2 linked regions of the Tamandua tetradactyla genome follow. The protein of the gene in region 2 interacts with the protein of the main gene of each other region in a pairwise test. Links are inferred from orthologs where the notes say so. Each region holds a gene or a part of one and is shown on either strand. Other genes may lie near its edges.

Region 1 (7,676 bases), on a different chromosome or scaffold from region 2:
ACAGAACGTCATGGTAACAATCATCCCTCCACACAGGCGCCTTAGGCAGCAAGTTATTCTTTTGTATATCTCCTTTCCTTTAAGGCAGTCGTGAGTGTTCGTATTATTACTGTTATGACGATGATGATGATTAATAGCAGTTAACTTTTTTTGGTGCTTACTATGTGCTTTGTACATTACTAAGTGCTTTACATGTCACTTAATTTTCATGACAACCCTATGAGGTATTACAGGGTTACAGATGAGGAACATAAAGCTTTAAATCCCCCTTTACAGATGAGGAACATAAAGCTAAGAAAGGACATGCTATTTCACCAAAAACATGCACCTAGTAATTAGTAGAGGCAGAATTTGAACCCAATTTTGTCTAATTCCAAAGCCCACATTCTTAATTACCACACCATTCTGCCTCTAAATTAGCCTAAAACTAAAATGGTGAGAAGAGCCACACACAGTGACATGCTCTGAGTCTCAGGCCTATTGGTGTCTATTTTTAAAGGTATTTGGGAAAGCAGATTCCACAATTTCCCCCAGTTACATATTCAGGTTTAGCAAATCTGGTTTTAAAGAAGTTTCTTCCTTCTAACCAATAAATCCCACCCACTGTCCTCTGAACCCATTTCCTCTTAGTCTGAGTCCAGTAGAAAAGAGAATAGCACAGATGAACACTCACAACGTGACATTTGTGCACCAAAGACTTCACTTCCACTCTTTCCAGTCTGCTATCTGCTTTCCTTTATACTTCCATTCAGCATAATAATAATAACAGCAGCTACCATTCAATGGCACCAATTCTGTGCCAGGCACCATATTTGTACATTGGCCCCTCCTCCATGATCTCCAGGTTCCCAATTTACAGGCAACACTTTGAGGAACTTAAATCGAATGTAGAGACCTCTTTGTACACTATGGGGAGGCAGGAGATCTGGGAATTCAAGTAAATAATGATTCTATGTTCTGGTAATATTTTCCTCTTTGGCTCTCAGGTTCCATTACCCACGCCTGTGTTCTGTCTCTCAGGAAGGCAGAGAGATCAAGACTTGTAATTACAGAGTCCAAGGGTCTTTGTATCCTTGATTGGCTATCTCTAGGCCTCTCCCTGACAACCAAGCCATCTCCTTTCTTTTCCTTTAACTATAGGAAAAGCTTGTCAAGTTCTATCCATTCACACCTTGTATTCACTTACACATTCATCATGAGTACCTGTGTGAACATACATTATGTGAGACAAGAGAAGATCCAATTCCTGCATTCAAAAAACTTCCAATTTCTTTGGGAAAACCAATACGTACGCAAAAATTTTTCAACTATGCAAGGTAAAACGCTGGAAGGCAGGAAGCATCTGAATATGTGAAACATGGGAAAACTTTCTGGTTGACTCTAAGATCAATGATTCATTCTGTGAAAAACTGAACCTCAAGGGATCGGCTTCTTTCTCAGGATGAGCTTTTACAGACATGTTATTCAACCTCAAATCTAATGTGCAATACCACTCCACTGTCCCCTTCCAGTCTTAACAAGTGGAGACACCTGCCCCAACAATATGCCCAAGATAGAATGGCAGCAAAGACTGTCACTATACCTGATTGGTGACAAGGAAGAAGGTATGCAGAGACTTGATTCTGTCCTGTTGCACTGACCCAAGCAATCAGACTCCTGCAGCACATCTCCTCCCAATTAAACTTTCATGTCACAGACCAGGGGTGACCTGACCCAACCCAACAGCAGCAAAGGCAGGTTTTAAGTTACAATTCTCCCTCACCCAGATGACCTCACTATTCTTCTCACTTCTGACCACACACCACACCACACCACACCAGTCCTCTTGGCCTGGCCAAATGGAGAAGATCCAATTCCTGCATTCAAAAAGCTTCTAATCTCTTTAAAGAAAACCAGAACGTATTACTGCCAGCAAGCAGGCAGTAATATAACCCAGAAAGAAGGGAACGCTTCAAAAAAAGAAGCTACAACTTTGCTAATCAAGTGGCTCGCTTTAACAGGGAACTCCCCCCCCCCCCCCAATGGTTGGTGTAGGCTATAGATCCATTTTCTCTTCCGGGAATCTTGCTACTCCTTAAAGAAAGAAAGCGGATTGGAAGACACAAACTCCGGGCCAGCGACAAGACGCTCCCTCCTCCTGTGAGACCGCCCCCGCTCCGCCTGGGGGAGGAAGGCCCCACCTCTCTTCTCCAAGTCAGATAAGATCCCCCTCCCCCTTCTCCAGTCTCCTCTCCTTCCACACCCCACCTGCTGCCCTCTCCTTAACCTGCGGTTCCCAAGACCCGAAACCGCAACCTCCTCCAAAATCGTGCTCCTGGGTGCCCCACTAGCCGCGCTGCCGACTAGCAACCAAACCCATTACACACCTCTGCCCCACGATGGGGAGGGTCGCCACAGCAAGGCTTCTCTCCGGTCTCCTACTGCTACCAGGTGGGGGAAGAAAAGGGGGATAAGAAAAAACTGCATTACCTAGCCTTTAACAGAAATTAAAAAAAAAAAAAAAATCAAAAGAGCGATCGCCGCCCCCGCATCTCAGGATTGTTTTTTTCCCCCCACAACCCCAACCCCTAGCAAACCCACCTCCTGCAGGAGAGAAGAACCTAACTGCATCCCAGGTCGCCCCCTTGTGCGAAGCGGAGGACAAATCCGTATGCGCCCCCCACCCCCACTCCGGCTCCGCGTCCTTCAAATGTGGGGGCAGGAATGAGACGCCCCGAGACCCCTCTCCGAGCCTCCAGTGGGAAGGGCACACCACCCCATGCCAAGCCGTGGAGGCGGGGGGCGGGAGGGCTGAAGGCTCTACGCCCTCAGTCCCCACCTCAAGCCTCTTCTCTACCGGGACCCGCCTTCCCTCCCCAACCTCTCACCTGTTCCTGCTCCCAGCTCCGCCGCTGCGGCCGCCGCCTCCGCAGATTCCACTCGGCTCTCACTCCGCTCTCTCCAGCTCCCCCACGACTTCGGCGCGGCTGCTCCCCTGGCCCCGCCGCTCCCCGACTCCCTCCTTCCCTCTCTCCACCTAGCACCGGAAGCCGCGACGGCGACAGGAGCTGTGCGGCTCACCCCTACCCCAGCCCGGGATACTTCCCACCTCCCCGATCGCGCGAGAGCTGCGCGGCGGCGAACGGCAGTTCTCGCGATATCCATCACCATGGCAGCCGCTGCAGCAAAGGCAGCCCAGCAATGGAGCTGCAGCCAGGGCGGGGGCCGGTGTGGGGGCTGGAGGCTGCTGGCGACTGAAGCGTGAGCCAGGGAATGGGGATGAGGCAGTGGGGACTGAGGTGAGAATTCCAAGCTGAGGGCTATGCCTGGAACTTGAAGACTGGGACTCCAAAGCTGGCTGCACTTTAGACTGAGGTTGGGCTAAGGAGGCTCTGGGGCTGTTTGGGTAAAGTCAGGAGCCGGGCTTGGGTGAGAATCCTTGCTGTGCCTCGCTTTGCCCCGTCAGACCTCATCCTTATTTCTTGCCTAGGACCAGCTGTATCCCCCTGAGAACTCTCACTGCTCCCAGTGTTGCTGTTCACTACTTCCAAATCTAGTTTACTCTAAGGTCTGAATCAAGAGACCCTTTCTCATTGGAAAGAGGAGAGTGATGAATTTAAGGGACTGAAGGAAACAGCTGGACTCTGGGCCAGTCAGGAAGCTGGAAATCGACAGACAAAAACAGTAGAAGCCTAATATATTCAGAGGTGGGGTTTAGGAAGTGTACCTGGATGAGTATGGATTTTAGTATCCCCAGGAAAGTGAAGGACTTTGCACCTAATGTTTTTGACCTCCTACCCATCCCCATTTCCCTCACACTCATTTTTGCACCTGTTCTAGACATGCAAAACTGGAACAGTCACAGCTATGATGGAAGAAGGACAATAATGATAAGAACAGAAGAGGGTTCTTTAAGTGTTCTTTCTCCTCATTCACAGCATCAAAAGGGAACACATGACTCTTCTCTAAGGCTGAAGCAGAAATTATTGCTTTTCTGGGTTTGTTACTGTGTTTCTGGTCTACTTGTAAGAGGGAGGCTGGTAGCCACACAGTGTCTGCCCTCTTGCCTCCATCAATTCCTGCCTTCACAAGTCCCTCCCTCTTAACCTAGTCTGTTTTCCGTCTTTTAACCTGGAAGATAACATGACCCCAGAATATGAATCCAATAGGACCCTAATTTAGGATAGTGATGGATGAATTGGCTGGCAAGAAAACCTGTATATAATGAAGAGAGTTATCTCTATCCTGGGCTGTTGTTATTCAGGGCCTTTGTCTTGCTAAGATCTGTGCTTTTAAAAGCAAAAGACTCCTCTGGTATTGATGCAGATTCTGTGCATGGGCCCTGTTACACCTCCACATGATTGCTTTAGCCTTTCCACTGTTTCTAGTAGCACCACTCTAGGTCTTGTCCCCACACACTCTGACCACCAAAATTATGCTTTCCATCCCCCTTCCCTAGAAGAATGTGGAGCATGTTGCTGTTCCTGCCCAAGATTTCAGACCTCCCCAGGTGTGACAGAAGGATAGAAATGGTGACTACCTAATACGGTTAGCAACAAGCATGGTATTTGAGTCAGGACTGATGAATAGAACTGGAGAATCTCCGAGCCCTTCTGTCCTTCACCCCTCTAGAGACTCAAGAGGAAAAGGTTTGTTGCAACATCAGTGGGGGTTTCCCACGGAGCAAACAGGAGCGCAGAGAGAACCAGTGCTGCCCAGCTGGCAATTAGCCAGCCACTTGGTAAAGCCTAAGGGGAAAAGAGTTCATCCAGAGCTAAAGGAGGCCAAGAGATTTGGCTTACATACAGTTCATCAGCCTTTCTCCCTCCCTCTGGCTGCCATATAAACTAAGTAAAAGCTAAATTGCAGCCACCCACTCTGTGGGTTCCACACTCCCACTCCTGTTGCTGACCTAGGCCTGGGCCTGAGTCCAGTGTATGTGCCAAGAGCAGAAGTAGGGAAGGAGGGGGGGTGTTGGCCTTCCTGACAAAATCCATTTGTAATTTCTCAAGGTTGTGGTTTGGGGCTTAAATTTGCCACAGAGTATGTCTGACGAAAGAGGAGGGAAAGCTAGAAAGAGAAAGGGAGCCAAAGCGATTACTGAGGAAGGAAACAGGAAAAAGCTGAAATATTCTTGCTGTGACTCCATTGGAGATTCTCCTCAGTCTTCCTGAGAGTGAGAAATTCCCATTCTGGAATTCTTGCTTGTTATTTTCCCTCATATCCTAAGTCCATTCCAGCTGCATCCTACCTACTCTGTTCAGCTCCCCCATATACATACTAGGCTCAGCCAGTGCCTGAACTAAAGATGGGATATCTTCCTGCCTCCATCAAATTTCCAAACTCAGAATTCCTAGTGCTCAAGTGGAAATTCAGATAATAAAATTTTGCCATAAGATATTGCACTAACCCTAAACTCTTCAAAATATCTTTGCTACCCTGGTGAGCCTCCGCATATCATCTGAGTTGAGTGATAATACAGATATAAATGTTGCCTAGAGGAAGAGAACAATTTGCCTTTCCTGGCCAAAGAGATGACCCGTTAGAGTCAGCATCTCACAGCCCCATAAATATGCAATCATTTGTAGCGTTCTAAATGTATGATGCATATCCCTTTTCCACATTGAACCTTGGGAAGATAAATGTATTTTCAAAGATAATTGGGCTAGGAATAGAATGATTAGAAAAGAAGAAATGCTGTTCTCCCTAGTTATGGTTATTGCTTAAAAGATGAAGGAATTATTTTGCTAAGATTAAATGCAGAAGAATCCTGAGTAAGGAGAGACAAAATGCATATGCAAATAATTCAGTAACAGACCAATTCTGAGCATGGAAATTCCTTTTATATGTTTCTCATTAATCTTGCATCTACCTCCCAAGTTCTCTGGTATGGAGCCAGAAAGAAAAGCACCTGCTACTTTGGGTCCAGGTTCAAGGCTGAGATACAACTGAGAACTTAAAAAAAACAGAACAGAGGTAATTTCATGTCTAGATGCAGGGGTCAACAAAGTACAGTCAGAGGGTCAAGTCTGGCCCTGCAGCCTGTTTTTGTGAATTTTTATTGGACATTGCCACACCCTTTTGCTTCTGTACGGTCTATGACTGCTTTTGATCAACAACAACAGAGTTGAGTAGTTGTGGCTGAGATGAGTAGTTACAATAAAGCCCACAAGCCTAAAATATTTACTCACTAACCCTTTACAGAAAAAAAGTCACCAACCCTTGTTCTAGGGTAGTGACCAAGATGAAATCTGGAGTGGAGGCACATAGAGAGTAAATTGGGCCTAGGTTTGCATCTCTAGCCCCTCCCACTTAGAAGTTCCTCCTGGTTTTGCACACTAAAATTTCCACCTAAGTCACCAAGGACCATTTCAGATCCTTTGTGGAACCAGGCAGGATATACATAAAGTAACTGAGAGGCGGAGAGCAGGGGTATTCACCTGGAAAAGAAGCCATGCACTAGGATATCAAGTGTGGGCAGCAATATCACCATCTGCATCCACTGGTCCAGTAACTTAATTTATTTTCATTACAAACAGGAACCAAGAACAAGTCTCAGTACAATAAATTATCCATTTCCATCCCTCATGCTGAAAAAAAAAAAAAGAGGCTGAGAGAGTCTTAGGTAAAACCTTCCCTTGGAGGATCCCCTTTAACATCGGAATGGAGAGAGACAGCTCACTAAGGGTCTGCACAGAACTCTCTGAGGACTCAGGGGAGAGCCACCCCTCAACACTCTGTCCCTTCCCCAAGAGAAAGCTCTCAACTGCTGTCTCCCATGACCCCACAAGCGAGGACCCAGTTTGCAGTAAAGAAGTTTGGGAACAGCAAATAAGAGTATAGTCAGTTTCTGGATACAGATCATATGATTCCACATAATGCCTGTGGCTATCCCTCGAGAGACAAGTGGTCAAACTGTAGGAACTCCCCTATCAAATTAGTATGAATCAGGATTAAAGGGACCCTGGAGTCGGGGGCAATACAGTGCATTTCAACTTAGTTTCCTCAGGTGTTTGAAGAGCAGAAAAGGAGTGACATTCCCCCACAAAGCCCTTCAACTGTGGGGAGAAGCTGCAAATCACATGGAGTCCTCCTGGCCCCTGCCACCCCCAAAGCTGTTTTCCAGGGAGATGCTTCAAGCTTTCAGGGACCAAGATCAACCCTGGACAGAAATCAGAGCAAAGGGCTGAAAAGGTGCACACACCCACACACCCACACACACACATACACACACACCATTCCCCAGGCCCATGGTGAGGCTGACCGTCATTTACACACATTGACCCACTCTGTGACTCTGCACTCATCACACAGCACGTAGCAGCACCAGTGGAAGCGGCAGTGGCAACGCTCAATTCGTGTCTGCCGGAGCACATTATGCCCACGACCACAGCACAGGCTCCCACAGCCATCCAGCAGGCGGCTAGTCTTGTTGCAGGCCCGGCCCCGTGTTCCCGGGGAGCTCACGGTAGGGTCTCGGTCACAAAAATCAGGAGACTTCTCAAAGTAGACCAGCTCTCCTGAGAGACGACCGGGACGCAGGCGAGGTTGGAAGGCTCCTGAGTTGCGGTTGTGGGTATTGATGAAGATGGCCCTGCCCAGTCGCTCCCTCAATGCTGCCCCCACTGCCCGGAACTCCGGGGCCGCCCTCCAGCATGTCTTGAACTGGCAGCTGCCTGAAGTGCCATGGCACTTGC
Region 2 (7,745 bases):
TTAGGCCGAGCACCACAGGCATTCTTGCCAATACAGAGATGGGTTACTTGTGAGTCACCTAGTACTCCCCCTACCCCCAACCCCTCCAACTCTGGACTTCTGTACACACCCTTAGGCTGCCTCCACAGGTGAGTGTTGCTGGGGGCAGGGCTGGGCCCACCCTGGAGGGGTTCTGCCTGTGGGCTGTAGGAGGGAGGGAGGGAGGCTGAGGGGTGACTGCCTGGGAGGGCCCGAGCCCAGGTCCCCCACCCTCTTTGGCCTGGCTGAGGCACCTGAAGCTCTGGGGACTTCTGGCTGAGGTCAGCAAAGGCGTCCCCCAGTGCATGCTGGGTCTGCAGCAGGCTGTAGAGATGGGCTGTCAATGCCCGGCCCAACTGCAGGACACTCTCATACTTGCGCTTCGTCTCACGCAGCAACTCAATCTGCAGCTCTAGTTCCAGGTCCACAGTCCGGGAGCCTCGCCCAAATCGCTCTGATAACAGCTGCTTTGTACACTGATTGGGAAGTGGAAGAATAAGTCAGAGACCCTAGAACCCTCACCACCTACTCAGGTACCCACCCCTGCATCCCCAGATGCCAGATCTCAGTCATAGATGGGATATTAGGGTCTCGGGAGAAGGGAAAACATTACCCAAGGGAATTATGAGTATATGGAGAGGTGCTCAAATCCCACCTTGTATGTGTTGATGCCCCATTTCTTGACGATGTCAAACTTCTCTCCAGCGATGCCCCGAGCCACCTCATCTCCAGTGCCAGAGGGAGTGGCACTGTGAGAAGGATGGCGTCCGGATCCTAAAGGACCAAATTCTCTGACATTAGCCTCTTTCAGATACAACCAGATACCTCTGTGGCCCCACTCATACTTCCCTCCCAGGACATGAAAATGACTTCCCTGAAGCAGCAGGGACTAAAGACACAGATTTGCCTGTTCACTAGGGAGAACTCATACCTTATGCCCTGAGACCCAAATCCCATATACATGTTCTGCCTGGGAGGGCCCGAGGCAGGAGATGTATATTCTTCCCATACTTGTACAGCAGCTTCTGTGTCTCTGCAGTGTAGCCAAATTCCTCCTGAAGAAAGAAGTGAGGGACACCTCCTTCTGAGGTGTGTGTGTGTGTGGGGGGGGGGGGGGCACTGTTGCTACAGTACAGTCTCTCCCAGAAACAGAAGAAAATGTACCAAGTATATTGGAGGGAGGGCGGAGGAGGAGAAGGGCAGGTTAAGATTGGTTGATCCTAATAATAGGAAACCTGGTGACTTTCCCATGTGGCATTCTAGTCTGTGTGGAACTTGGGACTGTTTGTTTCTCTAAATTTTAGAGTCTTAAATAGACCTTTAAGAAACTTCAGAAAATTCAAAATCAGTCTCAAGCTACAGAACAGTAGAACTTCTGAGAACTAGAAGTCTTAACCTGGTTCAAGTAGTAATAGTAAGGAAAGAATAAATGGGTGTATCTCAGGGGCTAAATGGCAAATGGGAGCATATGGACAACACTGGGAGCTGCTCTTGGACTGAAGAGGGTCCATGGAGTTCATACTAACGGAACCTCCCCCCAGACCTCCATGTATAAACCAAACTTCTCTAGACATATCTGACACTCCCCAGAACAATTCCTATCCTCCCTCTTCACTCAACCTTCCTGTTTCTGATCATACCTGTAGGGATGAGTCCATCACCAGAGCCCCCATAACCACCAGACACAATGCTGGTTTCATTGAGGTTGGGTCCTGACACCATCACCTGCTGGAGGTCCTAAAGGCCAGAGAAGAGAGGGGCTTCAGGAACACAGGGCAGCTGAAGCACTTTGACGGTAGGAACAAGGTTGGATTGAAACATCAAAGAGAGAGCACTCAAGGGAAGTCTGCACAGAACCAGAATGAAGATATGTGAAAAGATTAAGGGGAGTTAGCTACATTAAGGGAAAGCTAGTGGAATGAGAGTGACAGCCCAGGATCTGAGTTGGGATTGCTAAATTGAAACAAATAGGAGAAGAATCAAACTGAAGCACCTGCTCCAGCCCATCATCCTCAGGAAGCTGCCCAGCTTCGCCATTCCCGTGGATGGGGATCTCCATGGTGGCTGCCTTCCCCAGGATCCCGTCCGTCATGGCTGGAGAAGCAACTGGAGTCAAAGTCTCCACCCCAGGGCCCTGCAAAACCCGACACAGTTCTGGAAACAGGCCAGCACTCTAGGAGAAGAAAGCCTCCCCGGCCATTTTTAAGGTTTTAGAGGTTATCCCCAGGGATTAAATGTGGCCTGGGGCTCAGCCACCACTCCTCTCCTCAGGTGTATGTTTCTCCTCTCCAGCGTGCACATTTTTACACAGGCACATTCAGGCCTCAGGTGTCTTCTCACAACCCCTCAAACGCACCAGGACTCGGTTGCTCAATCATGCATTCAATCATTCAGTAGGCATTTAATGAATGCCTACCATGTGGCAGGTACTACATGAAGCTCTAGGAATGCAGCAGTGAATAAGAGAGATGAAGTCTGTGCCTTCGATGGAGCTTATCTCCATTCATGTGTCTCTCCACCGACCAGGAGATGAACCCTTCTCCAGGGCTCAGGTGTCCGCCCCCATTAGGGTATATTCTCTATTGCTCGGCCATTACCAGTCTTTTAATTTTCTTCCCTCTTACTTCAGGTGGTCTCTCCCTTCTCCATCCCATGCACCTTCTCCTCCTCAGCACCTCCTCACCAGGATTAATCAGTCGATGTATGTTCCCCATCTGTAGTAAAAACCTCCCTTTTCCAGGACACAGATGATGCCTTCCAAAGTCAGTTATGTCTCCCCAGGTGTGTGAGCCCGCCCCACCCCCATACACCTGGGCATCAGGTGTGTCTCCATCCTTCCCCTGGGCTCAGGGGCATCTTGCCGATAGGGCAGCTTCGTGCATTTAACTCCCCCTCGCCCAAGTATGAACCTCTCACCTCGGGCCGGGCCGCTCTTCCCCTCAGGGCGCCAGGCCCGGGCCGCGCGGGGACCTCGGGCTCCAGTTCCCGTCGCGATCCTAGCAGCAGGTCAGGGATTCGGCGGAAGTGACGTCCCTCATGGGCAGAAGAAGCCGGCCACGTCGCAGATTATGAGGGCGGTAGTGACGTTAGCCTCCGGGGGCAGGGCGCTCTTTGAGCCAACCCCTCAGTCCTCTGGGAATCGGAGAAAGATCACTTCCGGGGCGTTATCGAGAAACGGCAATGAAAGTGATGTGGTACGCGCAGGTGGCGTGATGGAGCAGCAACAGCAGCAACTGAGAAACGTGAGTGGGTCGGTGCAGGGCTGTCCCTTCAGCTCACATCCCTACCCCCGAAGGGATAACCCAAAGAGCTAGGGATTCAAAGGCTGGGAGTATCAGGCTGTGATGCCTGTGAAACCTCGGGCGGCGGGGACTGAAGTGACGTGTGGAGCCCCTTATCGCTGTGTTCCTGGCTCCCTTTTCTCCCAGTTGCGAGATTTCCTGTTGGTCTATAATCGGATGACAGAACTCTGCTTCCTACGCTGCGTGCCCAGCCTGCACCACCGAGCTCTGGACGCCGAGGAGGTGGGGAACTGAGTAGGAATTCCTCAATTATCGGTAGACTATCTCCCCTTCCCTGCTTCCCCCACCTCCGGCCCCAGCCTTTCCATGGTCTTTGGCTGTAGGCTGGGGATGACGAAGGAAGGCGATGAGGCCTGGTAGGACCCTTTGGCCTCTACTTCCATCTGTCTTTTTTCCAGGAGGCCTGTCTGCACAGCTGTGCTGGGAAGCTGATCCATTCCAACCACCGCCTCATGGCTGCTTATGTGCAGCTCATGCCTGCCCTGGTACAGCGCCGCATCGCAGACTACGAGGCTACCTCGGCTGTGCCAGGTGTTGCTTCTGAACAACCGGGAGTCTCCCCATCAGGCAGCTAGCTGTCCCCTCCCCAGGAGGGGAGGGACTGGAGGGAACCTCAGATTGAGGAAGCCAGTGGACCTTGGGCTGGGTGAAAGCTCTACAGAGTAGGTGAGGGGAATGCCTGAGAGCTTGGTATCGTTTCTTCTTTCCCTGGAGCCAATAAACTGGCTTTTGACTCCGTTTGATTTCCATTCTGGGCAGGGAAACTTTGCTTGCTTTATTGGCACCATCTTTTGTTCTGCCAGTTAGTGCATATTTGTTAACTTCAGACCTGGCAGCTGAAAAATTACCTTTATATGCAGAAGAATACCTCAACAGTCCCAGATCCCTGGTTAAAGCAGGATTTGTGGGTATAATTTCCAAGTTTGTAAAAGTAATAGAAAGTTGGTTCTTGCTCAGATGACAGAGAAAATGGGAGCTCTGTCTTGCTGTCCTTGAGACTTAAATGGCTCACTCGTGAGCTAAGTCTGTATTAATAACTAATTTTTTCATGGACTGTGTCTTACAAGAAAGGATTCTGCCAGGTCTCAGGAACAGTGGCAGTACCTAAGAGCAACAGATCAAAAAACAAAAGGACTTTTAGCACTACCTCCTGGGAAGTCAGTGGCCAGGAGCAGAAATGATCCTATAGAACTTCATCCATTTTCTGAGGTCATACTTTATTATTATTATTTTCTGTCTTCCCAAGATGAGGAGTAAAACCTTTAAACAAAGATGGTATGTTTGCTTGTCTTCCAGGACAGTCAGGAAGGGGAAAACTTGGGGAACCATATTGTACAGTGCATACATCCTTGAAGGAAAGAAACTTAAGGGAGAAGTAGATTGTGGTAACTGAAAAAAAAAAGGATAAAACCAAATCTTCCAGACCTCTTTAATGTTATTGCAGTGTCTTACTCCTTGTCTATAATCTCTTTAACCCAATTCTGCACCTAGCATTGTTCCCACTGTACCTATTCAGTGCTTTCAATTCCAGCCTCTCCATTGTTTTCTTGCCTTCCTTATAGAATTTACTTTTCTATTTAGCAGTCGGAATGGCATATGACTCCACTCTCCATTTTCTTACTGCCATTGGCTTGTTTTTTAAAATTAATTCAGCTGTTTTATATTTTTTATTCCTCTTTTCAAGCTGCTGCATGTTGTGCTGCTGGTGGGAAAATTCTACATCAACGTTTGTTTGTGTCCATGCAGTAAACTTCCATTGTGAATTTGCGTTTCCTCTCTTTCCATGTCGTATAATTAATAATTGCTGGAGAAGGGCTAGGAACATAGATCTGTCTGACTCTAAAGTCTGTGTTCTTTGAACTTCCAAACCTTATATCTGCAACCTCACCTGTACCCAGCTTGTTGGCATGGAAAGACAAGCATCCTTCAATGTGACCTATCAATTCTCTCTTAAATTTTCAATCTCTTCTGCTATGGTTCTTTTTGTCTATAAATATGATACTTAAGAGAATAACGTTATTCCTACCAAAAAGAGACAGCCAATTGTATATGGGAACAATGTGATGTTTAAAGCATAACAATTAGGAATAAATGTTGACAAAATTTTATCACTTATCACACATACACACACACACACACACACACACATATATATATATTCCTTTGTGGCCATTCAGCCATACAATGTCATTATTTGTGTTTAGAAGCTACCATTCTCCTGCCACTTTCTTCTAAAACTGAGCTCATGGCCTCTTACCCACCCCTTTATACTTTGATGTTTACATGGATAGTCCATTCAATACCCCGCTCTCTAAGTTCTTTGAGCCAACCTCCCAATGATTTGCACCCGCCCTCTTAGTTATATCACCCCAAACTGCTTTTTCTTCAAAACACTTACATCTCATTCACTGACTATATTCCTTCCACTTTGTTTATTTAACTGTTCTTTTTACTACCATTCTTTGATTTCACTGGAGGATTCAGGCCATTGCATCTTCTACTTTGTCCATTAGCACCATCCTGACTTTAGATTCCTATCCGGCTTATATTTTAGTGATTTTCTTCCAATAGCCTAAATTTCTTTGTCTCTCATATCTTTGTTGGACTATTCTCACAAAATATCAACCTTAGGTGAAAAAAGCATTGTGCCTGCATTTGAATAACCAAATGCCTCCCAAGGAAATTACTGTAGAGCATATTTTCACCAATATGAATCCGTGATTACCAACTTCAAATGGTGTCTCAGCCCCTATAATCTCATAAAATTTTTCTAGTCATCTCTCCTTCCTGCAATAATTATTTCAAACCAATATTCGTTAGGCTCTTATTACCCCCTACCATTCTTTTCACTTTCTGTGGTAACCTTACTTCTTCAGACAAAAGGAGAAACCTTTAGCTAGGAACTCCCTCAACATCCAGCATTATTCACCCACATTACCATCACTTCTCTTTTTCTCCTGTCTAAACAGAGCAATTATCTCTCTTCTCTAAGGCCTGTGCTCTGAATTCTGTTCCTTTCCTCTTCAGTAATCAATGATTTTTCTCTCACTTTACTGAATTATCATCAATATCTAAATATGCTAACTGTTCCCTTGTTAAAACAAACCATTCCGGGTGCTGTTTGTCCAGCTACCATCCTATCTCTTCCACTTTTCCAGCTAAACTTTTCAAAACAGTTGTTTACTTCGACCTTCTCCATCCTACAGGTCACTCTCCACTCCCATTCCTCAACCCAAGGACTTTGACTTCTGCAACCTTTATTCCACTGAAATAGGTCTTACTAAAGTCATCCTGGTTCACCAAGGTGACTTGAGTCCAGTGATTATTTCCCAGTCCAGTGCTTATTTCACTTGAGTCCAGTGCTTATTTCACTTCTCTGTAGTGTTTGGTACTATTCAACAAAACTAGTCCCTTATCATTGGCCCTCTTCCCTTGGTGTTTGAGTTAACTCTCATGGTTTTACCACTGTTTCTTTACTGCAACTACTTTTTCAGGCTCATCCTCTTCTCAACTTTAAAAGTAAAACTATTCCCTAGGTCCTGTTCTTTCATAGTCTAATTTTTCTAAGATGGGTTTATCCCCACTCTGGGCTTCATTTATTAATGACTCCCAGATCTCTCCTTTGAGCTACTTAACATCTCCACTTAGGTGTCTCAAGCTCGACTCATTAAGGCCCAACTCATAAACTTCTCTCCTATACTAGTAATCGTCCAATTGCAGAAGCTAGACACGTAGACACACCCCTCTCACCTCTTCACTCAATTGCCAAATTCTTTCTATTTACATTTTTAAGTATTCCTGGATTGTGCATGTTTCTTATTCCTCTTCACTTCGTGACCCCCAGATTATTGAATTGCTTCTTCCCATATCCCCCTTGATTTATTTTGTACCCCTTGTACCCCTTGATTTATTTTCAGTCATCAACCAGAAAACACAGGCTGATGCTTGAAACCTTGCAATAACTTCCCATTATTAGGGTAAAATGTAAATTCTATCACTGTCAAAATTTCAACAGCCTTTTTAACAGAACTATTAAAGCCAGTCAAATTCATATGCAATAGTAAGACAACCCAAATAGCCAAAACAATTTTTTGGAGGCCTTACATTTCCAATTTCAAAACATACTACAACAACCTCACACCTATAAGAATGGCTGCTTTTAAACAAACAGGAAACTAGATGTTAGAGAGGATGTGGAGAAACTGGGACACTTATGCACTGCTGGTGGGGATATGTAATGTTATAGCCACTATGAAAGACTGGCGTTTCCTTAGGAAACTAAATACTGAGTTGTCCTATGACCCAGCAATAGCACTACTTGGTATATACCCAGAAGAACTGAAAGCAACAATACAAACAGACGTTTGTACACTGATGTTCATAGCAACATTATTCACAATCGCCAAAAGACGGAAAACAGACCAA

Evidence for each region.
Region 1: the proteins of ARFIP2 (region 2) and ARF3 interact in a two-hybrid assay, tested with the Homo sapiens proteins (2 studies listed by BioGRID and IntAct). The link is inferred for Tamandua tetradactyla from reciprocal best matches to the Homo sapiens genes ARFIP2 and ARF3.

The regions. Positions count from the first base shown.
Region 1 is NC_135333.1:109,850,046-109,857,721, forward strand, and holds the start of ARF3 (ADP-ribosylation factor 3), read right to left. Parts: upstream 3,096-7,676; 5' UTR 2,868-3,095; intron 2,424-2,867; exon of another isoform or gene 2,421-2,423; 5' UTR 2,367-2,420; intron 1-2,366. Other genes in the region: WNT10B (protein Wnt-10b), read right to left, coding at 7,246-7,676.
Region 2 is NC_135334.1:79,907,221-79,914,965, forward strand, and holds the start of ARFIP2 (arfaptin-2), read right to left. Parts: upstream 3,067-7,745; 5' UTR 2,935-3,066; intron 2,153-2,934; 5' UTR 2,111-2,152; coding exon 2,012-2,110; intron 1,756-2,011; coding exon 1,659-1,755; intron 793-1,658; coding exon 674-792; intron 495-673; coding exon 273-494; intron 1-272. Other genes in the region: TIMM10B (mitochondrial import inner membrane translocase subunit Tim10 B), read left to right, coding at 3,231-3,260, 3,447-3,542, 3,719-3,895. UniProt on the Homo sapiens protein: Plays a role in constitutive metalloproteinase (MMP) secretion from the trans Golgi network. May have important functions during vesicle biogenesis at certain cargo subdomains, which could be predominantly utilized by secreted MMPs, such as MMP7 and MMP2.